Coturnix japonica: one gene and its partners. The protein of the gene in region 1 interacts with the protein of each later gene in a biochemical or structural test. Links are inferred from orthologs where the notes say so. Each region holds a gene or a part of one and is shown in the gene's direction. Other genes may lie near its edges. The genes, in order: CUL3, PEF1, COPS5, DCUN1D5, DCUN1D3 and KCTD17.

Region 1 (4,387 bases):
TGCAATAGAGGGCTAGAGGATGGTCAAGCAGACTGAATAGGGAGGTAGAATAATTGTTATGCTTAGTATAGATTTATATAACAACATTTCATGATACTTGCTCAGGTTGAAAGGGAGTGAACTTTCTAACATGGGTCCAACAGGAGCCCTTTTAAACAATTTGCATTAGCTGTTGATAAACTTTGACTGTAATTATTCTTATTTTGGCTTTACTTCTGTTCAGCTAATGATACTATTTCAAGAAGCCTCATTAAATAATGAGGATGAACTGTGAAATCGAGCGATGGAATTATGAGTGGCAGATAGAGAAAAAATAACTTTACAGAAGATAAAGGATGTGGATGGAAGGGAATTAAGTAGATACATAAAAAGCTTTCAGATTATTCTATGATTTTTCTGAATGTTTGGGGGCTCCCCTACTCTCCAACTGAAAAAGTGTCAGGGGTTGTGAATTTGTTCTTGCTTGGCTTAGTTATAAATGCTGTGCTTACGGTCTTAAGCAATATAGGCTCCCTATTAAATAAAGTTTTGGTAAATTGGTCTGATCCTGAGGTTGCTTCCTTTTAATAATGAGAAGAAAGGGGATTCACTTGATTATATGTGTACAGCACCAGTGTGACTGGTCTCTTCCATTTCTGAATAACCTGGGCATGATGAATTCAAAGTGTCTTTGCTTTGTGTGCCTTCATTGTAGGACCGTGTCTACGTACAACAAAATAACGTGGAGAACGTCTACAACTTGGGTTTGATTATTTTTCGAGATCAAGTTGTACGTTATGGCTGTATTAGAGATCACTTACGGCAAACTCTGCTGGATATGATTGCAAGAGAAAGGAAAGGAGAGGTTGTAGACAGGTAAGATGTTTGTAAGTGACTGTCTGCTGTTGCAAATGACACTTAGCAATCCTTGAGTGAATCACAAATGTGCACAGCTAAATCATTACTTAAGCGAAAGTTTCTTCATAACATGGAAAAAACCCCACATTTTTACTTTTTAGCAAACTTAAAATAATGGTAAATGGATACACTCATTAATACATTTCTAATGCTAATCTTGAGATGTTTATTGAAGTTTTTGTTAAGTCTCTCCGTTACCACCTTCTGTCATAGCATTCTATTATAAAGCAGAGGTTTGACAGTTCTCTGCCCCTTGTTGTCGTCCTGCTTGTCCTCTGTACTGAGAGGCTGCTTAACTTTCCTCTACCTGCTTTATTTGATTTTTGAAGTTATCTTTTAGTCTTCCATTTCCATTCCTAATGTTTTAACCCAGTTCAGTTATCTCTCGGCTTTAAAATCTGTTCTTCATGTTCTCTTGCCATATTTGTGGAAGTGGTTTGACAGCATGAGCTTCAGATGCTGCATGTGAAGTAACTCGAAGTTTGCAAGTTTTTTTGCGTTTCTCCAGTTTCAGAACAGCTGTTGGGTGTGGAGATATGTAAACTTCATGCTACTTTGGCTGCAGTTCTGTAATTGGGATTGCCCAACATACAGTTTATGAAGAGAAAAATACATGTTGGCAACAGCTGTATATTGTCCCCTGCTGCCAGAAATGAAATTTTTTCATAGATACAGTTCTTTTGTTTTTGAATGTTATCAGCATGTTTATGCCTAAACAGATGCTTAAATTGCAGGTGTGTTTTCATACTCTGCATGGCACCATCCATCTGTGCAACTGTCTTGTTTACTACTAACCTACACATGCAGTTTTCAGTGTTCCTTGTTTATTTTCCGGTGTGGAGAAATATATTCCTGTTAATAGTTTTCAGAATTGGTAGAACTTGAGATCTGCTTTCCTATTTAAAATATTATGTGTTGTCAGCTCCTTAGTTTTAAACAGTGATAGTCTTACTGCCATCTGGAAAACCTCTGGTGCAACAAACAGATGTAGGACAGACTTTTTATTAGTACATTTTAAGTTAAAAATTGTTATTTTGCTATACGTACTCCCTGTGTTATGTTGATTTCTGAAGTTGTTAACAACTTACTTTTGGCAGAGGCGCAATAAGAAATGCTTGCCAGATGTTAATGATTCTAGGTCTTGAAGGAAGGTCAGTCTATGAAGAAGACTTTGAGGCTCCATTTTTGGAGATGTCTGCAGAATTTTTTCAGGTACAGCAGTCTTGTAATTACCCTATTTGGAATTCTCTTGTAATTGCATGGAATCATAAGAGTTAGTGGTACCTTAAGTAACTACTGTTTATTCGACGAGTAATGTCAATCTTTGTTAAATGAAATAAGAAGTGTGACTAACTTTGAGGAAAAAGAAACACTTATTTCACATAATTAACATAATTTAACTGTGAGCATTGTCATTCTTAAGAATAATGAGAAAACCATTGATGCATATAATTCGTAAATATGACATAGACTGGTATTTGAAAAGAGATTTTACTTTTTGCTTCTCCCGTCTTTATTTTCGTTGGACCTGTAGCTCTAACTCCTGTTGGTCACTGGATATTAGGCTGATTGTGCTCACTTTAGCATGGAGAATACCACACTTATATTCATGTACCCTCAAACCTACATAGCACAATGAGTGTAGTAGAACTTTTATTGTGTTAAGCATATATGTAACTCTTGGAGGTCTTGCTTGTTGGATGTGCCGGAGTGATTTAACTTGTTAATGAATGCTGATCTGAAATAACCAGTATATTTCATTTTTTCCTCCTTAAAATACAAGAAGTCTAAAGTATTAATTTGTGTTAATCACAGATGGAAAGTCAGAAATTTTTAGCTGAAAACAGTGCTTCTGTATATATAAAGAAAGTAGAAGCTAGAATTAATGAAGAAATAGAACGGGTGATGCACTGTCTGGATAAATCAACAGAAGAGCCAATTGTGAAAGTTGTTGAGAGGGAGCTTATTTCCAAGCATATGAAAACTATAGTGGAAATGGAGAACTCTGGGCTAGTTCATATGCTGAAAAATGGGAAGACAGAAGGTAAGACTATATCATATGGGAGACAGAAATGCTTACCATACTGCTTGTTGTTTTTAAACATAGGATAAACTGAGCTTAACTTTTGTGTTCCTGTTTGGCTTTCTTTTGCACACCTCTGCAAATGGTACTTCAGAGGATTTAGAGAGCTTTTAGGACACTGATTGTATATAGAACTTGTTTCTGTTTAGTGCCAAATAATGACTTGGTTTTTTGTAAGCTAAGCATTTCTTAAGAATAAATATTCACCTTTTGTGCTGTGCTTGATTACCTGCTCTCTGTGAGCCATTTTATTGCTTTTGTGCCTACAGTGTATAGCTTTTAAAATGCATCACTGTTTTGTGGGGTTTTTCTCAGGGGGTGGTGCAGTATAAAAGTGATAGAGTAAATGACATGGAATTGCATGATTGATTTTTTTGGGGAAAAAGGATTTACTGCAGGAAAAAAGTGTTAATTTTAAAGGATGAAAAATATTTTCTAAGTGACTGAAAAAGAAGGATTTGGTTTGGTAAGGTTTTCTATAGTGTAGGTTACTGTGAGACAGCAACTGAATGCACATTTTTATAGAAGGAGAACCTACACTTCTGAAACAGTGTAATGAAGAGTGATTGTAGTACCTATTTTTAGAAATCAGGCTTCATACTAAAACATCGAGAATGGGAACAGACTTACTGTTTGGATAAATGGCTTTTGTTCCTTGAAGTAGCTTCATAATTAGGTGGTAGTCAGAGTGATAAAGTGAGCAAATTTCTTAGCTGTAAGAAAAGAGCATTTCTGTATGGAAAGATGATACTATACTTAACCTTTTTTCATTAATATCCAATTAAGATAGGCTTCAGGGTGAGAGGACAAGGATATTGAAGGGCATTTACAACATACAAGAATTAATATAACATTTATAGGCATTGGTTTAATATAGCTGTGAAGTTTTTTACATAAGAGGTGTACAAGGCTTCCTCTTCAAAAGCCATCTTTAAGCTAAGTCAGTTCTCCTGATTTTAGGTATATGAAACAAAGTAGTGAGAATTTATGCAGTTATTCCTTTAAGACAGTATAAATTAAGTTCAGCTAAACAAATGCAAATTAAACTCATGTTTTTACTGGTTTTGTGGGTTTGTTTTTTGCTTTATAAAAGTATCTCATTCATATTGTCTTATTTGTTTTAACATCATATTTGATTTTGGGATGGTAGACTTAGAAGATACATTCTTATAATAGCACAAATAAAAGGGATTTTGGTGAAAGTAAAGAAAAGGGGGCAAAAGTTTCCATCCAGTACCTAAGCTGTTACAGGATGCTTTTGTCTCTCGAATGAGTGAACTCTTCTGCTGTTTGTTGTCTTTTGCTGTGAAATGGATGAGTTACAGAGGGCATCATGCATATCATCTCATTCTTTTCTGCAGACCTTGCTTGCATGTACAAGTTGTTTAGTCGTGTGCCGAACGGTCT
Region 2 (5,018 bases), on another chromosome or scaffold:
ATCCCGCAGGGCGAGCAGGGACCGGACGGACCCATTGGTAAAGAGGTACAGGAGGGGCAGTGTTTGCTGGGGTGCCCCCAGGACAGTCCCACCGCCCCACTCCTCTCTGTCTCCCCAGGGTCCCCCAGGGAAGCCTGGCACTGCGGGACCTGCTGGCCAGAAGGTGAGAGTTGCCACAGCTCCCCCATGGTGCCCCCAGCCCTACACCACAATGGGGTGCTATGGTGAGAGCTCTGCTTGTCTGTGTCCCTACAGGGTGAAGCCGGGACCCCTGGAATGCGAGGGTACCCTGGGGAGAAGGGCCGTGCTGGCTCACCTGGGGGGCCGGGGAAGAGCGGCTCCATGGGCCCCATAGGGCTGCGGGGTCCTGCAGGTGAGAGGGGTCCCCCCGGCTCACCAGGACCTGCAGGCAGCCCCGGGCTGCCGGGACCCCCCGGGATGATGGTAAGTTGGGGGGGCAGCTCAGGAGCAGGAGCTTGAGTCCAGGGCACAGAGCCAGGGCTCAGTGGTTGTGTCTTTTCCATATCCCCCCCCCAGGGTGACGTGGTGAATTACGACGAGATCAAAAGGTTCATCCAGCAGGAGATTAACAAGATGTTTGATGGTAAATGGGGTGACAACAGGGACAAGGGCTGGTGCCCCTCCAGCCCCACACTGAGCCGCCTGTCCCCGCAGAGCGCATGGCGTACTACACATCACGGATGCACTTCCCAGTGGAGATGGTGGCAGCCCCGGGCAGGCCGGGTCCCCCTGGCAAGGATGGGCTGCCTGGACGGCCGGGACCCCCGGGATCCCCAGGGATGCCAGGGCAGATCGGCAGAGAGGGGCGGCAGGGAGTGCCAGGCATGCGGGGTATGTGCTGCCCACTGACCCCAGGTGTTGGGGTGTCCCCTATGGGGTGTCCCCTGTGGTGGGGTTTCACCATTCACATCTCTCCTCCAGGGGAGCCGGGAGCCAAAGGAGAGAAAGGGGAGAAGGGGATGGGGCTGATGGGGGACAGTGGCCCACCAGGACCCCCAGGTGAGTTCCCATTCCCTCTCTTCATTCCTGATGATGCTATATCAGCTCGGTTCCACCATTGCTCTCTTTGCCTTCCAGGTCCCCAAGGCCCACCAGGCTATGGGAAGATGGGTCCTCCAGGCCCCGTGGGGCAGCAGGGCATCCCTGGCATCCCCGGTCCCCCGGGTGCCACGGGGCCACCAGGCAAAACAGGGCACTGCAGCCCAGCGGACTGTATGGGAGCTCTGCCCATGGAGCAGCCAATCTTCCAGCCCAAGAATGCCAAGGGCCCCTTCGGCTGAGCCGGCCCCACTGCGCCCCACTGCTGCTCTTATTCTTGCCCCCGTTTTCCAGGGGGCTGCGCTGGTCCCGGGGGGGGGGGTTGGGTGCTGTTTGGTTCCGTGGGTGGGTGGGTGTTGTAGGGCAGGTGGATCCTGCCCAGCCCAAATACAGCCGTGCTGCTGCCCCACATCCCCACTGCTCGTGTGTGGTGTCTCATCTAAACAGCCCAACCCTGTGTGTGGGGCTGAGCTCAGCGCCCTGCTGCGGCCATTGGGGTGGGGGGGTTGGGGTGATGACATGGGTGATGGCATTGAGATTGGTGATGGCATTGGTGATGGCATTGAGATTGGTGATGGCATTGGTGATGATGGTGAGGCCAATGATGTGATACTGACAATGGAGATCATAGAACATCCCCAATGGGTCCCATAAGGAGCATTGAGTCCAACTCCAGTGGTGATGATGATGATGATGGTGATGTGATGGAGATGATGATGATGATATGATGATCCTGGGTCTGATGGGAGAATCCCACCCTAGTGCCGGCACTGTGATGCCCTGTTGTGTTCCTGTCCCTCCTCCTGGGGGTCCCATTCCCCGACCCCAGCCCCTCCTCTCTCGCAGCGCTCAGTGGGCCCCACCCCGCTGCCATCGCCGCTTTAAGCCTCTCCATCACATGCCCCATATCACCATGGGGAGGGCGGGACTTCCGCTCTCATCCGCTATATTTGACCAATAGAAGCCGAGAAACGCCAGTGACAAACGGAAGCAGGAAGTGCGGGGGCGGAAGCAGGAAGTGCGGGGCGGAAGAGGAGACATGGCGGCGTTCCCGGGGCAGGCCGGGCCGTACAGCGGAGCCCATTATGGCGGCGGAGCCCCACACGGGGTGGATCCCGAGGCCTTGTCGTGGTTCCAGGCTGTGGACACGGATCGCAGCGGCTCCATCTCGGTGAAGGAGCTGAAACAGGCGCTGCTCAACAACAACTGGTCGGCGTTCAACGACGAGACGTGTCTGTTAATGATCAGTGAGTGCAGGCCGCGCCTATGGGCACAGCGAGGGGATAAAGGGGCCATGATGCCCCCATTGCCCCCATGTTAAAGGGGCCATGCTCCCTCTATGTGCCCTTATGTTAAAGGGGTCCATGCTCCCCTCATTGCCCCCCATGTTAAAGGGGTCCATGCTCCCCCTCATTGCCCCCTATGTGTTCTCCTTCCTTCCTTCCTTGCAGACACGTTTGACAGCAGCAGGTCGGGTCGGATGGACGTGTACGGCTTCTCGGCGCTGCTTCGCTTCATCCAGCAATGGAGGAGCCTGTTCCAGCAATACGACAGGGACCAGTCGGGATCCATCAGCTGCACTGAGCTGCAGCAAGGTGGGTGAGGGGGGGGGGGACACAGCTGGGTTACACAGGGAGCTCTGACTGATTGATGAGCATTACAGCCCAGCAGTGAGTCATTGAGGGTCTCTAAGAGCATCTGGTTCAGCTGAACCGCGTCCCTCAGTGCCACATGGCCACCCCATGGATGGTGACTCCATCACTTCCCTGGGCAGCCTGTGCCAATACCTGATACAGCCCGTGATACCCAGGGGACCGGGGATGCCAGGGGTGCCCTGCTGCCCCACAGGGCCTGGAGGACCCATCTTCCCATAGCTTGGTGGCCCTTGGGGACCTGGAAGGCAAAGAGAGCAATGATGGAACCGAGGTGATAACATCATCAGGAATGTAGAGAGGGAATATGTACCAATACCCGATCGCTCTTTCAGAAGACATTCCATTCCTAATAGCCAATCCAGAGACCCCCCCCCCCCCCCTTCCAGCCCCCTTCCTGCTGTTCTCTCTGAGCTTCCAGGTGTCCCCTGCATCGCATTGAACCAGCCGTACTGTGAACTTCCTTAGGGAAAGCCCTTTTTTGTTGCCCTTCCCGATGGCTGGCATGTGTCTCAGCCCTGTGTTCTGGGAGGAGCTCCTGGGTGTGTGCGTCACATGGAGGGGAAGAATGTCTGGAATTCCCGCCTGGATTTGGTTCCTCCCTCTCCATAACCCTCCCTGCACTCAGCTGCTGATAGAAGCCCTTCAGGAACACACTGTGGGGAGGGCACTGTCTCCCTCCTTGCAGGGCTTTAATGTGTGTTTCTCACTCCCAGCATTCTCCCAGATGGGTTATAACCTGAGCCCCCAGTTCAGCCAGCTGCTGCTGTCCCGTTATGCCCAGAGATCCTCCAACCCCAGCATCCAGCTCGACCGCTTCATTCACATCTGCATGCAGCTGCAGAGCCTGACAGATGCCTTCCGTGAGAAGGACACGGGGATGGTGGGCAACGTGCGGCTCGGCTATGAGGACTTCCTCACCATGGTCATAACACGCATGTTGTGACACACGAGGCCAAGGGGGGATGGTGGCTGTCCTGGTCCTGGTCCCTGTCCTGTCCTGGTCCTGGTCTATTCCTCATCCCCAGTGGATGGCGGTGGGTGCCTCTGTGCTGCAGCAGGGCTTTGCTGTGCCACAATGAGTGACAACCAAACTAAGAGTGAGCCTGTGCCATGCTCTGATCCTCTGCTGTGGCTCTGGGGACAGCTCTGTGCCTTTGGGAGCACCTGGATCTTCCCCTGCCAGCCACAGAGTTGTATCAAAACCCAGGGTCACCTCATGCTCACAGGCAGGACTGGGTCCCTCGTTGCCAATGTCTGTACTGATTTCTTTCTGCCTGTGGAAGCCAAGCTTGGAAACGGTTTACAGCTTATTTTTGTAGCTCTAATAAAAGAGCCCTGGCAGCATTTCCTGGCTGGTCTGTGGGGCGATGGCTGCGTGGCTCCAGGGAATGAAGTGCTGTCCTTCTTCTGAGATACAGCCACAAAAGTGAAGGCCGACACTGAAAAGGTTCGGGTTGTTTTTCTTCCCTGTGCTCCTAAAATGATGGTTGTGGGGTTGTTCTTTTAATTGCCTTTGATGAGAAGCAGCACCCTGACCATTGTGTGACAGCTGAGTTTCTTTGTTCAGGGTAAGGGGGTGTTTTATGAACGAGTTAAAACGTTTTCTGGTGCTCTGAGGAGAAATAACAGCGCTGTTATTTGTCTCAACTTTGGCCCCAGGTGGGACTTTGTGAGCACTAATAACAATTCCAGCAATATTTGGAGTTCTGTTCTGGTGAGTAAAGTTGGTTCTGCTCTATTTTTGGAGCTGACTTTTGTGCTGTTTCAGACAAGGCTGCAGCTCTGGCCAGCTGGCAGCAGGCGCCCAGCAGGGGCTGTGTGGGATCACACACACCTCCTGTCTGCATGCACTGATATACCTGCATGTGTGTATTAATAGGGGTGTCTGTAGGGACAGATGTATAGGTAGAGGTGCGGGTGTTTCTATATGGTGATCCATACGTTGGCTGTAGGGCAGGCTGCAGCCACCAGGTGCCGCCCCACTCCACGTTGGGGCGCAGCCAGAGCTCAGAGCCGAGGGAATGCAAAGGAAAACAGTGAAAACAGTGGGAATGCAAAGAGAAAGTGCCCAGCCAAGGAGCCAAACTCAATGCTGAGGGCTGCTCTGCTCCCGTGAGTGAACATGGGATGGATGTAGGCGCAGAGCTGAGCACGGGAACTCAATGGCTGAGAGCTGGGCTGCAGCTGAGCTCTGGAAGGTTTGATTTCCAGTTTATTTGTGCAGCTTAGAGCTGCACGAAGGATCTCAGACCGTGACGTTTCCTCATTGCAAATGATTATCTTTAAAGTAGTTTTAAAGGGCCG
Region 3 (4,387 bases), on another chromosome or scaffold:
GCTGCAGGTTTTCAATCATATTGTTTCTTTCCTTGGTGAAGTGGAGCTGCTTCAAACGATAATATCAGCAACAGGAAGAATTACTGCTTTTTCTCTCCTGATGGAGAGAATACATTTCCATGTATTTTAAAGGCAGTTTAATTTTAACCATTCTCCTAGCACCCTGTCACTTGTTCCTCGCTTCATACATACATGTACTTACATGGAAAAGCATTTGTTTTGCCAGGTCAGTCCCCTGATCTGATCCAATTTGCAGCAGTACATATGTTCTTGCTGGTTAAGCTAAGGTAGAGGCAGATGATGGAGATGCAGTATTTGGGAAGATTCATAGAGTAGCTTGGGTTGGAAGGGATGTTAAAGACCATCCAGTTCCAACACCCACAGGCAGAGTTGCCACCCACTAGCTCAGGCTGCTCGAGGCCCCATCCAGCCTCACCTTGAATGCCTCCAGGGATCAGCAAGAGAAAGATGGGATTGCTCCTTCCATGCTGGTTTTGATTCCACCTTCAAGTGTTTGACGAGCCCTGCAGTTTAAGGAACTGTGTACAGAAAACTTCTGAGATCTCACTGACACCGTGTAGGTTCATGGATGTGATGTAGGCCGTTGCCTGTTTTTTTTTCCATGGTTTTGGTGCATGGATATCTATTTGTAGTGCATTTATAGCTGCATGCGGAGTTGGACTCTCAAGATATCAAGAAATTATTACAATTGAGAATTGATTTTCCTATCCAAACTGAGAAAATTCCAGAGCAGTGGCTACACAGAAATCTTTTTAGTAATGAATCTGTCGCTTCAGAATAGTGCTTGTATGGACACTGCCCATAAACGTTGGTATATATTAACGTATGAGTGGAAGGTGTGTTTTATCTTTATTTGAAGTGGTCAGTTTGGGAGAGTTCATTTGCTTATTTGGGGGTTTTGCTGTGGGATTTACTGTTGGTTTTTTGTTGCTTTTTTTCCTTCTTTAAGTTGGCAGTGCTTAATATTTACCATCATAACCTTCATCTCAGGAAGCTGGCTTATCGTACAAGCTATTTCTTGCCATCCAAAGAAAATATTTTCCAGTCTTCCCTAGGGAAGAAACAGCAGTTAGGGAAAAAGATGGAATTTAAACTGGAATTTTGGCACATTACTGAACTACTGATTGCAAATGATTAGAATGATGGCTTCCTCTCAGTAGTATGGGTAGTTGCACTACAGATTTAAAATGTAGCCAATTTGAATGATGGTCCTCTCTATTTGATAGTCTAGTCACTACTAGTTGTTTCATAGTAACAGTAACTTTGCATAGAAATTAAGCAATGATATGTTTATTGGTAGCTTTCTGAAGAGTTTAGTGATCAAAATAAAATCTAGCATAACTTGAATGTTGCTGTAATTCATCTACACAGAGCTCAGCTTTCTGTCTACGTAGTCAGATCTTATGAATTGCGTAGTACCAGCAAAGTTTGACTTTAAAAACAAGTATGGTATGACAAAATTATTTGTCCGTTAGTAACATTTACTGCTATCAAATGTTCCTAATTGAATTAGATCACAAAATTAGTGATCTGCTATTAAAAAATTACAGTATTGAAGAGCCATAGAATCACCAAGGTTGGAAAAGACTTCCAAGGTCATCTAGTCCAACCATCCTATCACCGATAGTTGCACTAAACCATGTCCCTCAGTACAACACCTTAACACTTCTTGAACACCTCCAGGGTCAGTGGATCCATAGCCTCCCTGATCAGCCCATTCCAGTGCCTGATCACTCTCTTGGAGAGGAAGTATTTCCTAACGTCCAGCCTGAATCTCCCCTGACACAACTTGAGGCCATTCCCTCTAGTCCTGTCACTAGTTAGATGGGAAAGGAGGCCAACCTCCACCTCACCACATCTTCCCTTCAGGTAGTTGTAGGGAGCAGTAAGGTCTCCCCTGAGCCACCTCTTCTCCAGACTAAACAATCCCAGTTCCTCCTACCACTCCTCATAAGTCTTGTGCTGCAGACACCTCACCAGCTTTGTTACCTTTCTCTGAGCACACTCCAGGGCCTCAGTATCTTTCTTGTAGTGCTGAGTACAGAGGGACAAGCTTCCCTTCTCCTACTAGCAACGCTATTTCTGGTACTAGCCAGAATGCCATTGGCCTCGGCCACCTGGACACACTCCTGACTCATGTTCAGCAATGCATTGTCTGATACCCTCAGGTCCATTTCCTCTACAGAGTTTTCCAGTCACTCTGCCCCAAGGCTGTAGCACTGCCTGGGGTTGTTGTGGCCAAAGAGCAGGACCCAGCACTTGGTCTTGTTGATCCTCATCCCGCTGGCTTCAGCCCAGTTATCCAGCCTGTCCAGATCTGTCTGTAGGACCTTCCTACCCCCAGGCAGATCCACACTTCCTGCCGACTTGTGTTATCTGCAGGCTTACTGAGGGTGCACTCAATGCCCTCATCCAGGTCATCGGTAAAGATATTGAACAGGACTGGCCCTAGTACTGACCCCCAGTGAAACCATTTGTGACCAATCACCAGCTGGATTTAGCTCCATTCACCATCACTCTCTGGACCTGGCCTTCCAGCCAGTTCTTTACCCAACACGGTGTACCTAAGCCATGGGCTGCCACCTTCTACAGGAGAATACTACAGGAAACAGTGTAGAAGGCTTAGCTGAAGTCCAGCTAGCAGCCTTTCCCTCATCCAACAGGCAGATCACTCACAGGAGATCAGGTTGGTCAAGCAGGACCTGCAGTTGATGAACCCATGCTGGCTAGGCCTGATCCCCCATTTGTCCTGCTCATGCTGTATGATCTCCCTCAAGATGATCTGCTCCATAACCTTTCCCAGCACGGAGATCAGGCCTGTGGTTCCCTGGATCCTCCTTACTGTACAGTGCATCATTGGATTGTACAACAAGCATTTACAAAATTAACAGAAACACTTGCAGTCTCTTAAATAAAACAGCAGTATGTATAGGGATTGTGTAAACTTTTATTAAAGCTTTATATGAAATACTTGCAAAACATCTTGTAGAGTTAGAGTTAGAAGTGAAAGTAACTTTTATTGTTTAATACCTTGAATTTCTGAAGATATTTGCCACTAATAAAGACTTTTTCAGATGGATGTTATTTGGGTGTTAGAGCCAAACAAGATATATTTATATGGAATTTTGTTGTGTGCATATTTGTTTTTAAAGGTATTATGCATTAGAAGTCTCTTACTTCAAATCATCTTTGGATCGTAAATTGCTTGAGCTTCTGTGGAACAAGTACTGGGTGAACACTCTCAGCTCTTCTAGTTTGCTTACTGTAAGTACCATAATGTGCATAAATATGTATAAATGTTTGAATTCATAGCTTAGAACTCAGAAAGATAATTGTTTTCTTTCTCCTAAGAATGCTGACTACACCACTGGCCAAGTCTTCGATTTGTCTGAAAAATTAGAACAGTCGGAAGCTCAGCTTGGACGGGGCAGTTTTATGCTGGGTTTAGAGACTCACGATAAGAAATCAGAGGACAAACTTGCTAAAGCAACAAGAGACAGGTAAGACAATGAATACATGCATTCCTCCCTGAAAAGTGTTAGTTTTAAACTTTAATTATCAAGTCCTTAGTAGTAACTAACCAATAAAATCATATCCTGGAAGGCTATGGATAGGAATGAGAGGCTCCAGATATGACCAGTTCTTTTTGAAAGTTTGAGAAACACTTGTGTAAAACTTTCATTTAAAAATTAAGAACCGTTGAGGTTGGGATAGGGTGGGAAGGGTGAGAACCTTCGAGCATTGATAAAAGGCAGTAGCTCTCTTCTCCTGGACTGCTGGGGATTTTGTTGTTGTTCAGAAGACTGCAGAGCTCACTTTCTGTCGTTAACATAAGATGCCCTACATTGCTAACCAAGTTCCCTGGAATTGGCCTTTGTGTGTCTAGAGCCCATCAGTTTGCATTCAGAGCTATTGGCAACAGTGGCTGAATTGCAGTGTGTGACTTTTCTTTTCTGGACAGTTGTGAAGATTCATGGGGTTATGGGCACCCTGAACTTCCAAAACAGCTGAATATCTTTAAATAAAATGACAGTTTAGTTCGGTCTTTAGCCAACATTGAATTTATGCTTGTTTTTCAGCTGCAAGACCACCATAGAAGCTATACATGGATTGATGTCTCAGGTTATTAAGGATAAACTTTTTAATCAAATTAATATAGCTTGAAATGCATCGCTAGCTGATATGAATCTCCAAAGCAGAAAAAAGTTATGGTTTCTTTCACTTGGACTTGTTCAATTTGGGAAAGGGATCTGAAGTGGAAAATTATTCATTTAAATTGTAGTACTTTAATATTCCCCACCTGTCCGACCGGCTTTAAAGAACAAAACGTTCTGAAATGTAATGTAACTTTTTGTTCTTTACCATA
Region 4 (4,387 bases), on another chromosome or scaffold:
CAGCCATAGAACTTAGAGATTTAGTTACATGCTTAATATAAACAATCTGACCGAGTTTTCTTCCCAGATTTGGGTGCCTAAATATAAATGGTCTGACTTTTAAATATGTCAAACTCTACAGCTTTTGATGACCTAAATTGGATCTGTGCATCTTCAGCACCCTTGACTGAAGATCATGCTGCTTAGTAGAAACCAATGTTAAAGTCTTATATAAGTAGATAAGGCATTTGAATTACTGAGCAGTGATGGTTCAGACATCTGCATGTGGATTTTTGGTTTAATATCTACCAGGTAACAGTATTTCAGCATCTCAGCAAAAGTAACAGCTGGGATAAGTCAGACTAAGGTAAGGTTGCATTTCAAGGTAATTTCTTGTTCCAGTGAGTGTTGCAATAGCACGACTGACAATTGCCTCTTAAATTAAGCTTTTTTCATGAATCAGTTGACTTAATTGCAAGTAAAAATAAACAGAATATAACTGGTTTCCCATTTCTCATATTAAAATAACACTTCGTGTCCTTCTGTTTCTATAAGCTATTGCAGGTCACAAACCCCTGGTAAAGTAATAAGTGGAGAGGAGCATTTTTCAAGCAAGAAGTGCCTAGCATGGTTTCATGAATATGCAGGTAATATGCACTGTATACATACTTAAAATGTTTAAAACAAATCAATGTGTCAAATATTATTTGTGTTTTGCTTTATGTCCTCATGGAAATATAGGTATGTCCATATACACATGAATTCATATGGCTCTTACTAACACTTTCTCGGGGATTATCTGACTTTGTTTTTCTCCTCTTTCTCTGTGCTTTATAATTTTCCATGGCATTCTTCAAAATAAAATAACTGATGCTGCATGGTATACAGTGTTGAACTGAGGGATTCTACTGCTGATTAGAAAAGGACAAGTAGAAGTTGGGACTGTGGGCATTTAGATAGAAATTTATTTCTCCAGTGATCTTGTTTGTAACCAGATCAGAATGATAATGGAATAACAGTTAATGATTTAAGCTCTGTGTTCTCATCTTTTAGTAAAGGCTGGTAGGTGCTTGTACTGGTTGTGCTGAGAATCTGTGCTAACATATTTGGTGTCATAAATAACCAGTGTCTCATTCACAAACACTAGAAGTACCCTCTTGTGAAAAAATTAACTCGCTACCCAAGTAGTAGCTGCCTTAGTAAATGTCTAATGTATATTGCAGCACTTACTAAACAATTGTTGCAGCTTGTTTACTAATCATGTGACTAGAAATTCTGTATCTGTAAACTGTGATCAGTATCTTTTCTGACGTAGTCACTGAAGTCCACTGTAACTAATTGGTGACTAAAACTGTTTATTGGCTCAGTTCTCAATGTGAAATGAGGTGGTGTTTTGTCATCCAGGGATTGGTTTAGTATATATGATTCAAAGCCAATACCGTACTGACATTGTTTCCAGAGTAATGAACTAGTCTTGATTCTAGTAATTGCTTTCTCCATTAGATTTGAGGCATACTGTTTTGAACTCTTTCCTGTGGAAGATTTCCTCTCTGTGCTTTTAATTTTCTTATGTGCAAGTAAATCAAATGCCTTTAATTTGCTAAGGCTTATACATTGTATTGTTGTTGAATCAAGAATTCATTGTATGGAAACATAATTGTTAGTTAACCAGTAATCGAAATATGCCACACCTTGTATCTTTTTGTAATTTAAACAGAGAGACAGAGCAGCCTTTTATTATTTACTGATTTCTGAAGTAGCAGCATTTGCCCAAAATGTTCTGTGGTATTTTGTTTTGGGGTACACAGCCTTTGCCTTTTACATGGGCTTATATCCATTAAAACAGTGTTAATGTCAAGGTCCCAATGGTGCACAAAATAGCATGCTAGCAAGTCCTTTGATAATATTGGGCAGCCTACAAGTAGTAGTTTTTGGAACAGGCTTAGCAGAAATAGCTGGAACCAGAGGGATTCGGGGAAATGATACATTTTGCAGTGTGTCCATATGTGCTCTTTAAATACACTCTATTGCTGCCTTTTTAGACTTTCTTCATATTAAAAGCGAAAGGTAACAGCATAATATCGTCTGTTCTGGCCTCAGCTACATTACTTTCATTGTAGTCAAAGCTTTTACTGCTTTTTGCCTAGCATTTTTTTTTTTTTTTCAGATTTATTATACTGTTTCATTCATAAAGGGTTAATGGCAGATAACAATTCTTATAATAACTATGTTAGTGCAAACCCATAATGGCAACACTATTGAAGGGGTAGGATGTGTAATGGTAAGTCAGACAGATGTAGTGTTTTTGTGCTTGTGAAGTACTATTTGAAGAACATTATTCATAGGGCAGAGACGATACTCGCTGAGTTTAGCTTTGTCTATGTGAAGCTCAGTGGATGCTTCTGAAAACCCACATAAGTGAAGTAAAATAGTTTGTGCGCCGTTCTAGGAGGGCAGCTCACAGCAATTCCATATGCATTTTTCTTTTGGTCCTCATGGTTATGTCATTGACAAGTATTTCATACCTGTCTGCATGTTGCAGCTGATAGAATGGCTCTAATACAAAATCTAATCGATAAAGTAATGCGGTGTTTTTAAAAATAGCTTGTATAAAATATTGTATAATTCTTCCTTGAAGTGTGGTAATTCAAATGTAATATACATTTCACTGAATATTACTTCTGTTTCAATTTGGTTTGTTGTTTTTGGTTCTGAAGGTCCTGATGATGTTGTGGGGCCTGAAGGAATGGAAAAGTTCTGCGAAGACATTGGTGTTGAGCCTGAAAATGTAGGTTTCTTTCACAATACTAATCACACTTTTACCGGATTAGACTTAGTTCTGTGTATGTCTCTTCAGTTCAGTAAGCAAAGAGTTGCGTATCTTGTTTGAATGCTTGGAGTTTTCTTCATAGAAAACTAGAAATCTGGAAATCAATTTTTTCTCACATACTAACTCCGTTTTTTTCCCCTTGTTTGTTTCCACCAGATTATTATGTTAGTTTTAGCCTGGAAGCTAGAGGCTGAAAGCATGGGATTTTTTACCAAGGAAGAATGGTTAAAGGGGATGACCTCATTACAGTAAGAGGGTTTTTGTTTGTTTTTTACATATCAAATTTGAACATTCTATTAAATTTTTGTACCTGTAGCTTAATGAATCTTGCCCACTATTTCTTACACATTGGCAGAAAGACACAGAAACTCTTGGTTTTTAGGTCTGGTTTCAGTCACCAGCTGGAGGTAACTTTGTATTTCATCAGATTGGGAATCTGATGACTTCACTAAAAGTTTTGTCTATCGTAATCAGGTCTTGATGGCGTGTTAAAGTATCAGTTATCATACACATGTTCATGGAGACCTCAGATATGCTTCTGTCTCAGCACCGGTATTTTGAGAAGCTGGTTACTGATATCCAAGCTTCATAGATGAGAACTATTTTTGATAATCTGTTGGTTATTGTTGTTGTCTGCTAGGTACAGGTTAGAAGCCATTCTTAATTGCTTAGGTTGAATGATGCTTTTTCAGTTTGTAAGTAGATTTCCCAAATCCTTCTGTGACTAGGGTTATTTTTGTTAATGCTGAAGAGATGTTCATTTGTGTAACTACTGAGCTTTTGGTGAGGCTTGACTCAGCTGTTGTTTTGTTATTTATGAACCTTGCAATTCATTAATGTTTTCAAGGGTGACTTGTTGTGATACCACGTTCAGTTAAACTGTATACATTTTTAAATGTACTGTGTAAATGACTACAAGTCAGTTCTATGAAGACCTTAATTTTTATATCAACTAAAAGGCTTCAAAGTCAACCAGTCTAGCAGAAAGCAAGCACTGGAGTATGGCACCACTTCAGAGCCAATACAGATATGTATTGAGTACGGCAGCTCTTTAGAGATACTCTGAATACTGTAGACTTTTCTGTCTGCACTAATCTAGTGTAGTTAGGACCAAATCTTCATTTTAAGAATAGAGTTCAACCTGCTATAGATGTAATGCATTTAAGACAAAAAGTGTATGCTTTACTTTTGTGCATTTCTACATAAACAGATGTAATCAAAGCACCTACCTAAGCCTAAAACAGTTACTCAGAGGAAGCAAAACAGTGCAATCTGTGCTAGTACCAGGCTGTAGACTAAGCATCTGGTCACTCATATGTGACACTCATAAAGGAGCTGAAGACTCAATGACTTCGAAAAGCATGAATCTGTAGAATTGTGTTCTTTGTGCTCACTGGGAATAGGGGATCATAATAAGACTGCAGGGGTTGAGAGACTCTAGGTTCTAATTAGAGGCTTGACACAAATTTTGAAAGAGAAGGATTTACACTATTAGAGCAGCAGGATCACTTGATTCTTGCATAGCATTATTACACTTTTGCATGGAGAAATTATGTTGCAATTATTAAAAGCCCAGCA
Region 5 (4,860 bases), on another chromosome or scaffold:
AAGTATCAAACCTCACTCCTTGCCAAGGGCCACTTTTATTGATCAGTCAGTGGCTGAACTGTCACTAATACCAGCCCAGCCCTGGCCATGGCGTGCATCACATCCGTAGTTTTCTGGCGAGGCCCCAGGTGACGTGGTAGCAAGTGACCAGAACAGCTTCATTCACAGCTGTGCGCACAAACCACCTGCACTGCAGTCCCAGCACATCACAGCTGAAACGATGGGTTATGAAATTTCATCATGGGATTTCAGGTATATTGGCTTAGAAATCTTCCTCAGCTTTTCCTGATGTCGGAACGTACGGCCTTGTTTCTGGGCAAGGCCCAAGGGAGGCAGATGGATCTGGAATAGAAAATCCCAAGTCAGGTGCAAATAAAGATGCTACAAAGAAAAAAAAAAAAAAAAAAAAGAAGCATATACAGACAATTTTATTGAGTTTCAATCACTCGTTCACTCATTGGAGAGGGCAACCATGCTGTCTGAAGCCAGGTTATTAGATTTCTGTGCAAAGAACTCTCTGAAGAGCAATTAGTGGAGCGACTCTGCAGCCTTAAACATCAGGTTTAAGAAAACCCTGCATACTTGAGGTTTTGTTAATTCTGGTCTGCAATCTGAAATCAGATTGTGACGATAACATTGTTGAAATATGCCTGTAAGCAGTATTCCAGAACAGCAAGACACAGAAATCCTGTTAAGGTCCCAAGCTGAAGTCTTAAAGCAGCGTGCTGATGATTTTTTCAGAGCTCACCTGGCTCTGATTTAGCAGAGCACCTGAGCAGAGGTGAGATGTGTGGCACAACGACAGTAGAATGGATCTATGATTTGAGTGTCAGATGGGAGCTAATAAGGTGCACCTGTGGGGAACAGACATACTCACGGGTCTCGGGTAGGGGATGTTGTAGTGAAGTCCAATTTCTATTCTTGCCTCACATTCTTCTATGCACTGCTTAATCAGCTTCGGATCTGTCACCTAAGATAACAGAGAGCTAAAAATAAATATTTTGCACAAGTACAAAAATCAGCATTTCAAGATTCAAGCTTTTTTTTCCCTTCCTTTTGCAGTTCCAAGGATACAATGATGGTGTTTTTCACATCTGCACTGCTGAGCTCTATGGCTCTGAGTAGCAGCGCCCAGAGGCTATCAGAATTGTGAGAGCAGAGAGTGCTCTTCGAGGTGACGTGCCTGGCCTTCCACAGGAGTTTATGGAGACCTCAGAGGGTTTGAATTTTCTTACAGATTTTGACCCCTGAAATAATAAGCTGTAACTCAAATATGCCTTAGAATGTGTTTGTACTGGCATTTATGGGGAAGGAATTTTGGGAAATCATTTCTTATTTCCATACCTTGGCATCCACCCACTGGGGGTGAGCAAAGCACAGTGAAAGGGGTCAGAAATTCAAACCTGCAATGACGCTCACTCACATCTTTGTTTTTTCGGAACAACGTTTTGGCTTCTTTTATAATGTACTCCCTCTCTGCAGCAGTTTGTTCCACCTGTCCTGATGCCGACTGCCATTTCTTGGCTATCCGGAATATCTTGCGGTAAAGGCCCAGCACCTCTTGTCGTGTGACTGCTGTCATCTGAAACAGACCAACCCCACAAGAGCCCCAGTTTGTGTGAACGACCACCACGTGTACTGCTTTTAAACACAATTCAATGCTTAAGAGCATCTCCACCACCTAAAGAATGAACTGAAATAGCTGCTGAAACCAGAAGACCCAGCCAGCAAAGTATTGGCACTGAGACTTAAATCTGCCCCATGCAAGCAGCCCGAGCTCCTGCTGCAAGTCAAGCACTCGATGCAGTGCTCTGCTGAATGAGAACCAGCTCAGGACCGGCCGTGCTTTCTGTCACTGCTGTTTTGCAACACGCAGCGTTGGGCGAGTCACCGAAACTCGGAGGAGTCTCCGCTGTGTTGTAACAGCGCTGCCCCGTCTGTGCTGTGTGTCCAGACCTGGAATCACGCACACGATGACAGCACTGGTGGGTGGTGGTGGGTGATGGTGGGTGATGGTGGGTGATGGTGGGTGATGGTGGGTGATGGTGGGTGGACTGCGGTACCGGTGCCAGGTGCCGAGCAGCTCGTTGGCCGTGCGATGATTCCGAGGTGCTGACTGTGAGCGAGGGGGGTCCTGAGCGCCCCGGTCGTTGTGGCGCCGTCTGCCCGCTGAGCCCGCACCAAGAGCCGGCGTCAGAAACGAGGCCCGAAATGCCGCTGTTGTGTGTACGGTGCGATCTGCCCCTGCCGCCCGGGCCGGCCTTACCCGCAGCGGCGGAACCAGCGCCGACCTCCCGCCCGCAGCGCCCGCGGCACCTCCGGGCACAGGCTCCCTCCAGGCCGCGCTCTCAGCCCCGCACCGTGCCGTGCCGTGCCGTGCCGTGCCTCGGTCCCGTGCCGTGTCCTTTCGTGCCTCTCCCCGCCCCGCTGCTCCCGTTCTTCCCCGCCCTGTGCCCTCCCGGTTCGTGCTGCGCCGGTCGCGCCGCGTGACGTCACGGCGCCAGCTGACTGCTGGCCCGGAAGTGATGCGGAGGGACGCAGCCTCGCCGGGATCGCGGTGAGTGCCCCGCGGGGCCGTGCCGAGCTGTGCCGTACCGAACCGAACCGTACCGTGCTGTGTCGTGCCTCGGTCCCGTGCCGTGCCGTGCCGTGCTGTACCGTACCGTGCTGTGCCGCCCCCGGGGACGCGGCGGGCCGGGCCGGGCGTCAGCCCCGTGCGTGTCCCTCGGCCGCCGCTGCCGCCTTCCCCTGCCGGCGGCCCGTCCCTTCAGCCCCTCGAGCTGCAGCCGCCGCTGGGCCCGGCCCGGAGCCGCGTTGCGGGGCGGCCCGTCCGTCCGTGCGGAGCTGCAGCCCCGGAGCCGCAGCACGAGCCGTGGGTCGGGCGGGGCCGGGCGCCGCTGGGGGCTGCCGCCATCCGTCCGAGCCGCCCCCGGCGGTGGCCGCTCCGCTCGGGCGGTCTCCGCACGCGGCCCCGGCGCTGCAGGTGAGTGGCCGGCGGACTGAGGGAAAGCCGGGCTGAATGCAAGGAAGCGCCTGGATCGGCCCAGGAGCCGGTTCTGCGCCGTCCGAACGCACCCGCTGCGGGTTCCGTTCTCCCTTCGGCTCTCGGTGCCGCTCTGAGCACGTTACCGGGCCGTGCCCGCAGTGCTGCCCCGGCCCCTGGGCCTGCAGCCGCGCGGCTCCAGGGGAGCGTTGCTGGGAAGCAGAGACAGTGCTGGAAAAAGCCTTTTATTTCTTACACTGTAAGTAGTTAATGGTGCTATCCTTCAAAGTGTTTCTTTGATAACTGATGAGTGGGAGCCCAGCTACTCACATACAGCACTGATCCACAGCTGTAACTTCACTTTAAATGATACCATCCATAGTATAGTTTGAAGGGAGGGCAGGCAAAGTGCTCAGAAGGGCCGAGCTGTGGCCCCAAAGTGCAGAACTGGCTTGTGGTTCCTGAAATGTCTGTCAGGCCTTTGTATCAGACTCCAGTCCTTGTGTGTTCTTTCTTTTTTGGGGGAGCCATTGGTCAAAAGGCGTCTCTTGTAGGCACACACTGCTCATATGCCCGAGAACCTCTTTGCTAAACAGTTGATGTGTGACTGAGATCTTACTGTTTTCTTTGGGCTGGCAATGGAAAGAGGGAATGTCTGAGGGCTGCTGTTCTTTGAGTGCTTCTGAACTCTGCTGCATGTTTTCCTGCTCTGAGGAGTTCCTCTGAAGGACAAACAGATACGTGTGAGCATGGAGAGGTCTGGCTTTACCTTCTTGTCAGTTCTAGGGTTCGTCTTAAACCTTACACCTCCTCTGCACACGTGCTAATGGTGTGTGGGAAGGCCTTGTAGCCCTTTTAGTGACAGGCAACGCGCAGCCTGAAGCAAAGACTCTGCACATCAGCAGAAAAAGAACTTGTGATCTGTGTGGAATTAGTTCATGCCTGCAGAACCGGCATCATGAATTTGCTGCATCTTCTCTTGGAAGGATTTCTGAAATTCTGATTGTTTTCTAAAATCAAGTTTTATACCAGCACAAATTAGGATAATCCTTAAATAATTTGGCAAAACTATTAACAGAAGAGTACACAGCTCAATGTGATACTTTGAAACCACTTTCTTCTTGAGACTGATCACCTGTGATATAATTCGTTATCTGCTGAGTTAGATGCCTTCCCTGCTGCTCCCTTACTGTGTTTTTGAGTTGCACATTGCCATGTTCATAGAAAATTTTGCCTCACTTGTTCTTATTGATCTTGGAAATTCGTTGGTAATTATGTCTTCTATTTTGCATGGATAATACAAAAGGAAATCAGATGAATTGAAAGGCTGATTTTTGAGGCAAAACCCAGAAGAGCTATTTTGGAAGTCATTAGTTAAAATTAGATAAAGAGCTCTGTACTGAGGAAGGGAAGCTACCAAACAGTTTGACTGACTTCTAGCACAAAGGGGTTTGTTGTGGTGGATTTGCATGTGGATGAAGGTGAGGCTCCATTCCACCAATTTCTTTGCTTCTACTTGAGGACCATGTAGAAAATCGTATATGTTCTGTGGATGTGTGCTGGGCAGGGCAATGTAAGGTAGGGAGGAATGGCAGTGGAAGAAAAAGGAATAGAAATGACTACTCTAAACCTTCAGACGTTGTGAAGTTAGATTTGCTCATGGCAGAAAATGATGAGTTTGGATATGGACAGATGTATGCCTGCGAGTCAGCAGGAAAGTGAGTATCCCAGTACTGCTCAGAAGTGCCCCATGCTGATGTAGAACCTTGGGGCACTGCAGACACGCCCTGGGGCCTTGGCTGTTTGTGTGCAAAGTTGTAAGATGCAGGAGCGCTGTCTTTGTTCCATCAGGCACACTGGTCTGTGGAAATGAAGGT
Region 6 (5,004 bases), on another chromosome or scaffold:
TTTCACCCCATTGGCCTGGGGTGAGCAAGGGTTGGCTACAGATGGCAACTAACATTGATGGAAGAAGGTGTGTTCTGAATACAGGCCATTTCTGACCCATGAGCAGCTCTGGCATGGGAGAGATTGGAAAAGGCATCAAAAACAAGGGATTGTATCTAAAATGGAGAGAGAGACTGAGGGGCTGTGAAACAGGCTTGGAGGAAAGGGAGGCAATTTGGACCCTTTGTAGAAAAAGGAACAAAACAAAGGCAGGGCAGATTTCTTGGAGGGGAAGATAAGGGGCAGTAGGTTGCCACCTTCAACCGCTGCATTCATATCAGGGAGCCACAGTCCTCCCTTGTCTGCTGCAGCTGTGGGCAGAGCTGACAGGATCTCATATTCCTAACACACCAGAGTGTAATGCAAAGCTCTCACATATGCTGTGGCTTGACTCAGAGCCAGAGGTAGGAAGGAAACAGTCTCACAGCCCAGAGTTATGTTGTACTGTCTGATGCTTCACCTCAGGTTGGTGACAGTCTGAGCATCCTTGATGTCTTCTGCTGCTCAGAGGAGAGTGGTCCAGGGGCTGGGGATTAATTTATTAATGGACCTGCTCAATGCAAATAGGAAAATAAATAAATAAAAAAAGAATTACTCTCTCCCTATTAATAGTCACCATAGAGCTGGCAAGCTCTCAATGTAAATTAAAGGAGACCCTGCAGCAGATGATTTGTTCATGTGCTTAAATTAAACTGGAGGTCAGCAATTTCAAAACCTTTTCCTTGTTACCTTTGCTTTCCCCCCTCTGCTTTGCATTCCTGCACTGAAGGAGCAAAGTGCAGTTATACCATCTTTGTGAAGAGAATTCTGGGTAACTGGGGGGAAGGGTGATGCTATGCTCACGTTCTGTGATGATAAAAGGGAGTGATTTTTAAGCGCAAGAAAAGAGAGGATGAGGAAAAGAAATGTGAGTAAAGCACGATCTTTGTCTTTTTTCCACCCCCTCTCCCCCAGTAACTCCCGCCTGGAAAGACCCAAGATCTAGGTGAAAGAACGAAGCGTCCACAGGGCAAACGGCGTTCCTGCAGTGCTGCATTGCCCTGGCAAGGAGGAGCCACGGAGTTGTTTCAGGTGAAGGAAGACTTTGGGCCACATTCAGGTGAAGCGTCAGCTTTTCCTTTTCATCCCCAATGTGCCTGAGCTGCTGGCAAGCACAATTGTGTTTCAGAGGGAGAGGAAAAAGCAGAGCTGCTGGAGAAATAACTTATTCAGGTCATGTCCATGCCAAGGAGTGCATTTGAATGGAGTCCCATGGGTATGAGCTGCCGAGCTCCATGCTTGACTTGGCAGGAGGAGTGGCAGAGGCAGGGCTGTGCTCAGCAAGGAGCAATTGACACATTGGTATCAGCATGCGGTATGCCTGAGGCAGAGGTGAAGATCCATGCAGGGCAGGGTTAAAATCTGAGCTCTTTGCAGCCAAGACAACATCAGAGCTGGGAAATAGCTGGTGGTCTCTGGAATGGTTTGTGACTGTAGAACCATACAGGGAGGAGGGGGGTGGGGTTGGGGGGAGGGGAGAAGGGGAACATTTGCTGAATCAGTGACTCTTCTGAGTCAGAAGAAAAATTGTTCCTGCCCCCCTGCCAGCACTTCGTGCAGATCCAAGATACCGTTCCCAGAAGAGTCCCTACATATGTTAGCAAGAAGACAACTGCCTGCACATTTTGCAGCAAGAACAGTGTAGCAACTGATGCAGCGCTGTGCTGTGAGCCTGGGGTAATGTATCTCCTGGAGGGAAAGCTGCGGAGAGCAGTGCTGATGGGCTTAGTCTGCTGACTGCCAGAGATCAGAGACCTTCTTTCTGACTCCAGGGACGCTTGCCTGCTAGATTTGCAACTCAAAGCAAGCAAATGATTAGCTGTAGTTTCAGGGTAATGTATTACAGCATCCCCTTGTGTGGGGACAGCAGGCTGGAAAAACTACAGTTCCCAGCACCCTTTTGTGCACATCCCTGCAAACTACAGTTCCCAGAACCTTTTCATGAGCCGGGGAGGGAGGGTGTACGTGGAAGTAATTGCTGAGGAATTTTGCATCGCTCCCCATACTTTCAAAGTGCTGCCCAGCCCTCGGTTAGTGAAAACCGAAACGGAGGAAAAGCCAAGGAGCGTTGAGACAGTGGTTTTACCCACCCCTAATAACTGCAGCACTAAGCATCCTTCTCGCCCTGGAGTCTCCCTGGGCAGACGCAGGGAGGATTCTTGCCCCTAAGGGAAACACGGCTGCTGCGGAAGGAGAGCAGACTAACTACAGATCCCAGCATTCCCTGGCAGGCAGCACCTGCGGCAGTCCCTGCGTGCCAGGGGGGATGAGGATGTGGATGGAGGGCGGGGAAGAGATGAAGGGCGCAATGGGGCTACGCTGCGGCTGGGACCCACCCCCCATTGATGCCCAGGCCAAGTGGGTGAGGCTCAATGTGGGGGGCACCGTCTTCCTTACCACCAGGCAGACCCTGTGCCGGGAGCAGAAATCTTTCCTGTGTCGCTTGTGCCAGGGCGAGGAGCTGCAATCGGATCGGGTAAGGCAGCTGTATTGCCTCCTGCACCATGCCCTTCTGAGCACGGGGAGGGCTGCAGGGCTGGAGTCAGATCCCAACAGCTGTAGGAATAACCCAGAGAAAAATACCTTCATTTTCTCCCCTTATCCTAGCGAGAAACTTCTCTTGCCAGATACTTCCTGGCTGTGTTGTAGCCCAGTCCCCTGCACCCCTGCTGCTCCATCACCGTGTATACCCTGAGGGTACTCCCCAGATGTAGCAGCCTGACTCAACCCTTTTTTCACTTCGAGGGATTTCAGCTTCCTCACACCAGGCCTGTACTTATAGTTGCAGGAGCCTGAGGTCATGCTGAGATGGACATTCTGAGCATAATAATGCAGGAGTTAATATCTGAGTGAAACTGTCTTGGCTATAGTCTATTATAGAGATGTTGCAGGTAGGTGCAGGTCAAGATACCCCGTGCTTTTCATCTCATGGTCTACCTCTTGTTGATAGGATGAGACTGGTGCATATCTAATAGACCGGGACCCTACTTACTTTGGGCCCATCCTGAATTTCCTCCGCCATGGGAAGCTGGTCCTGGATAAAGATATGGCTGAAGAGGGTGAGTCTTGGAGCTCAGAAACTTACCACTTAACCATTGCTGGAGCAGCACAGTAGGGTTTGTAGTTGACCTCCTTGTCTTTTGTTATCCTTCTGAAGATTGGTGTGGGAGATTTGAGAAGGCCATCCTTGCAGCTCTTGGAAAGCATGTTTCCTTCTCTAAGTGGGAATGGAGCAGGTGGAGAAGGGATCCTGCATATATTGAGTCCTTATGGCTGTTAGTTGAGCAAAGGTGTCACGGAGATGGAAGCAGACTAGGTCTCTCATCCATGAAAAACTGTTTTATTACCTGTTCCTGATACACTTTTAACCAGGCTTTGTGACTGAGGTTTGTACTAATGACTGAGTGTTTCTAATTAGGAGTGAAAACCCAGAAGACCAAACAGACCAACTGACTGTAATAAACCCCATAATTAATCAGTGACACGTAATGTATGCTAATAGTGCTCTGATGGGTTGTGGACTGCAGCAATTCCAGTGGAGCAAGCCAAACAAACCAATCCCTCATTTGATGTTGACAGGGAGTCCAATAGGATAACTCAGTAACATCATCATGGTGTTACGAGCCAGCGATCCCCAGTGCCTCATTATTTTTTGGATGTTAGGGACTAACAAGCAGCCAATTTCAAAGACAGGCTGTGCTGTCCAGCCCTTGCCAAGCACAGTTTCTGCAGGTTCATTAGCCTTCTTGCCTCCCTTACATATTTTTACCAAGGAGTGTTTTATTCAGAATCATTTTATGACTTATAATGCAAAAAATATATATCTAAGAAATAGTACAGAATTGTAATAAACACCATTCAGAGATGTTTCTTACTTATCATTGGTTGTCACCCTCGTGTCAGACAGAGTTCAGCCGAGGCTTTTAACACCAGATCTGAAACGTAAACAGGAGTTCTTGTTCTGTTCACAGCTTTCTTTTGCTCCTGCCACAGGACAGGCTGGCATGAAACCAACCTGTTAGAGGGTATGGCTGAATGGCTGAATGAGGGACTTATTCTGAGTTCTCAGGTAGAGAAGGATCAAACCCATACCAGCATTGTCTGCACGCTGATCTGGGTACCCATGAATGTCGGTTCCTGGCCTCCTTCCCCTCACTAACCCACTGAGAACTCACCTCCCTTTCCCTGATGGCTTGTTAGCAAGCAGTAGTATCTCAGGAGGGGTGAAGGATGCAGATACCATGCAGAAAACTCAAAACAGTTCTCTGTTTGCCTGCTTTGTGATGAAGCATGGGTGAGAGAACCAAAGACTGAAGTCATACAGGGATGCAACTCTAACAGGCCTGGGAGGAAGGATGAAATTTTCTTTTGCTGGAGAAGTCAGAACAAATTGCGGTTCCCTGCCTTCCAAAGAGGGCTGGAACAAAACAAAAACTAGTGGTCACTGAGAGCATGGATCCTACATTTATTCTCCTTGGCCTGTAATCTGAAAGTTGATTTTGGATTCTCAGGGAAATCCTCCTCTTCCCTGGGAATATAGTAGCAGACCTTGGTACCAACCTGCACTGTTTCTGTAGTAGTAGGCAGCATAAAGAAGTTGGGGTGAGCAGTAGAACACAACATGAGAGCCAGTTCTCAATTCTCTGCGGTAAAGGTTTCAAACCTTTACCGCAGAGAGCAAGTTCTGAGCAAGGCTTGAGTATCATTTCATCCAAGGGTCATAACTTAGGGAAGTGTATTTAGAGTTGTTTTTTTGGCTTGCAAAACAATCTGGCTGTTAACTTTGTGGTTTCTCTGTCATTCTTTCTTAGGGGTCCTGGAAGAAGCAGAGTTCTATAACATCGGCCCTTTAATCCGGATAATTAAGGATCGACTGGAGGAGAAAGACTACACAGTGACTCAGGTATGGTTGGAAATGGCAAACAA

What was found.
Region 2: the proteins of CUL3 (region 1) and PEF1 form a complex in vitro, tested with the Homo sapiens proteins (2 studies listed by BioGRID). The link is inferred for Coturnix japonica from reciprocal best matches to the Homo sapiens genes CUL3 and PEF1.
Region 3: of the proteins of CUL3 (region 1) and COPS5, one has a biochemical effect on the other in vitro, tested with the Homo sapiens proteins (2 studies listed by BioGRID). The link is inferred for Coturnix japonica from reciprocal best matches to the Homo sapiens genes CUL3 and COPS5.
Region 4: the proteins of CUL3 (region 1) and DCUN1D5 form a complex in vitro, tested with the Homo sapiens proteins (2 studies listed by BioGRID, with this or other methods). The link is inferred for Coturnix japonica from reciprocal best matches to the Homo sapiens genes CUL3 and DCUN1D5.
Region 5: the proteins of CUL3 (region 1) and DCUN1D3 form a complex in vitro, tested with the Homo sapiens proteins (3 studies listed by BioGRID, with this or other methods). The link is inferred for Coturnix japonica from reciprocal best matches to the Homo sapiens genes CUL3 and DCUN1D3.
Region 6: the proteins of CUL3 (region 1) and KCTD17 form a complex in vitro, tested with the Homo sapiens proteins (3 studies listed by BioGRID). The link is inferred for Coturnix japonica from reciprocal best matches to the Homo sapiens genes CUL3 and KCTD17.

The regions. Positions count from the first base shown.
Region 1 is NC_029524.1:6,977,468-6,981,854, reverse strand, and holds part of CUL3 (cullin-3), read left to right. Parts: intron 1-694; coding exon 695-855; intron 856-1,994; coding exon 1,995-2,109; intron 2,110-2,712; coding exon 2,713-2,941; intron 2,942-4,341; coding exon 4,342-4,387. UniProt on the Homo sapiens protein: Core component of multiple cullin-RING-based BCR (BTB-CUL3-RBX1) E3 ubiquitin-protein ligase complexes which mediate the ubiquitination and subsequent proteasomal degradation of target proteins.
Region 2 is NC_029538.1:4,369,282-4,374,299, reverse strand, and holds PEF1 (peflin), read left to right. Parts: upstream 1-1,984; 5' UTR 1,985-2,098; coding exon 2,099-2,306; intron 2,307-2,510; coding exon 2,511-2,654; intron 2,655-3,427; coding exon 3,428-3,657; 3' UTR 3,658-4,361; downstream 4,362-5,018. Other genes in the region: collagen alpha-1(XVI) chain, read left to right, coding at 10-45, 119-163, 256-444, 538-604, 676-852, 943-1,020, 1,099-1,301. UniProt on the Homo sapiens protein: Calcium-binding protein that acts as an adapter that bridges unrelated proteins or stabilizes weak protein-protein complexes in response to calcium.
Region 3 is NC_029517.1:104,428,691-104,433,077, reverse strand, and holds part of COPS5 (COP9 signalosome complex subunit 5), read left to right. Parts: intron 1-3,173; coding exon 3,174-3,285; intron 3,286-3,372; coding exon 3,373-3,521; intron 3,522-4,100; coding exon 4,101-4,185; 3' UTR 4,186-4,387. UniProt on the Homo sapiens protein: Probable protease subunit of the COP9 signalosome complex (CSN), a complex involved in various cellular and developmental processes.
Region 4 is NC_029516.1:163,126,575-163,130,961, forward strand, and holds part of DCUN1D5 (DCN1-like protein 5), read left to right. Parts: intron 1-534; coding exon 535-626; intron 627-2,696; coding exon 2,697-2,767; intron 2,768-2,965; coding exon 2,966-3,057; intron 3,058-4,387. UniProt on the Homo sapiens protein: Contributes to the neddylation of all cullins by transferring NEDD8 from N-terminally acetylated NEDD8-conjugating E2s enzyme to different cullin C-terminal domain-RBX complexes which is necessary for the activation of cullin-RING E3 ubiquitin ligases (CRLs).
Region 5 is NC_029529.1:12,709,085-12,713,944, reverse strand, and holds the start of DCUN1D3 (DCN1-like protein 3), read left to right. Parts: upstream 1-1,879; 5' UTR 1,880-1,985; exon of another isoform or gene 1,986-2,260; intron 2,261-2,266; exon of another isoform or gene 2,267-2,387; intron 2,388-2,470; exon of another isoform or gene 2,471-2,557; intron 2,558-2,991; exon of another isoform or gene 2,992-3,242; intron 3,243-4,860. Other genes in the region: LYRM1 (LYR motif-containing protein 1), read right to left, coding at 226-342, 878-970, 1,424-1,672. UniProt on the Homo sapiens protein: Contributes to the neddylation of all cullins by transferring NEDD8 from N-terminally acetylated NEDD8-conjugating E2s enzyme to different cullin C-terminal domain-RBX complexes and may play a role in the cell cycle progression by regulating the SCF ubiquitin E3 ligase complex, after UV damage.
Region 6 is NC_029516.1:47,001,878-47,006,881, reverse strand, and holds the start of KCTD17 (BTB/POZ domain-containing protein KCTD17), read left to right. Parts: upstream 1-1,562; 5' UTR 1,563-2,344; coding exon 2,345-2,554; intron 2,555-3,028; coding exon 3,029-3,137; intron 3,138-4,889; coding exon 4,890-4,981; intron 4,982-5,004. UniProt on the Homo sapiens protein: Substrate-adapter for CUL3-RING ubiquitin ligase complexes which mediates the ubiquitination and subsequent proteasomal degradation of TCHP, a protein involved in ciliogenesis down-regulation.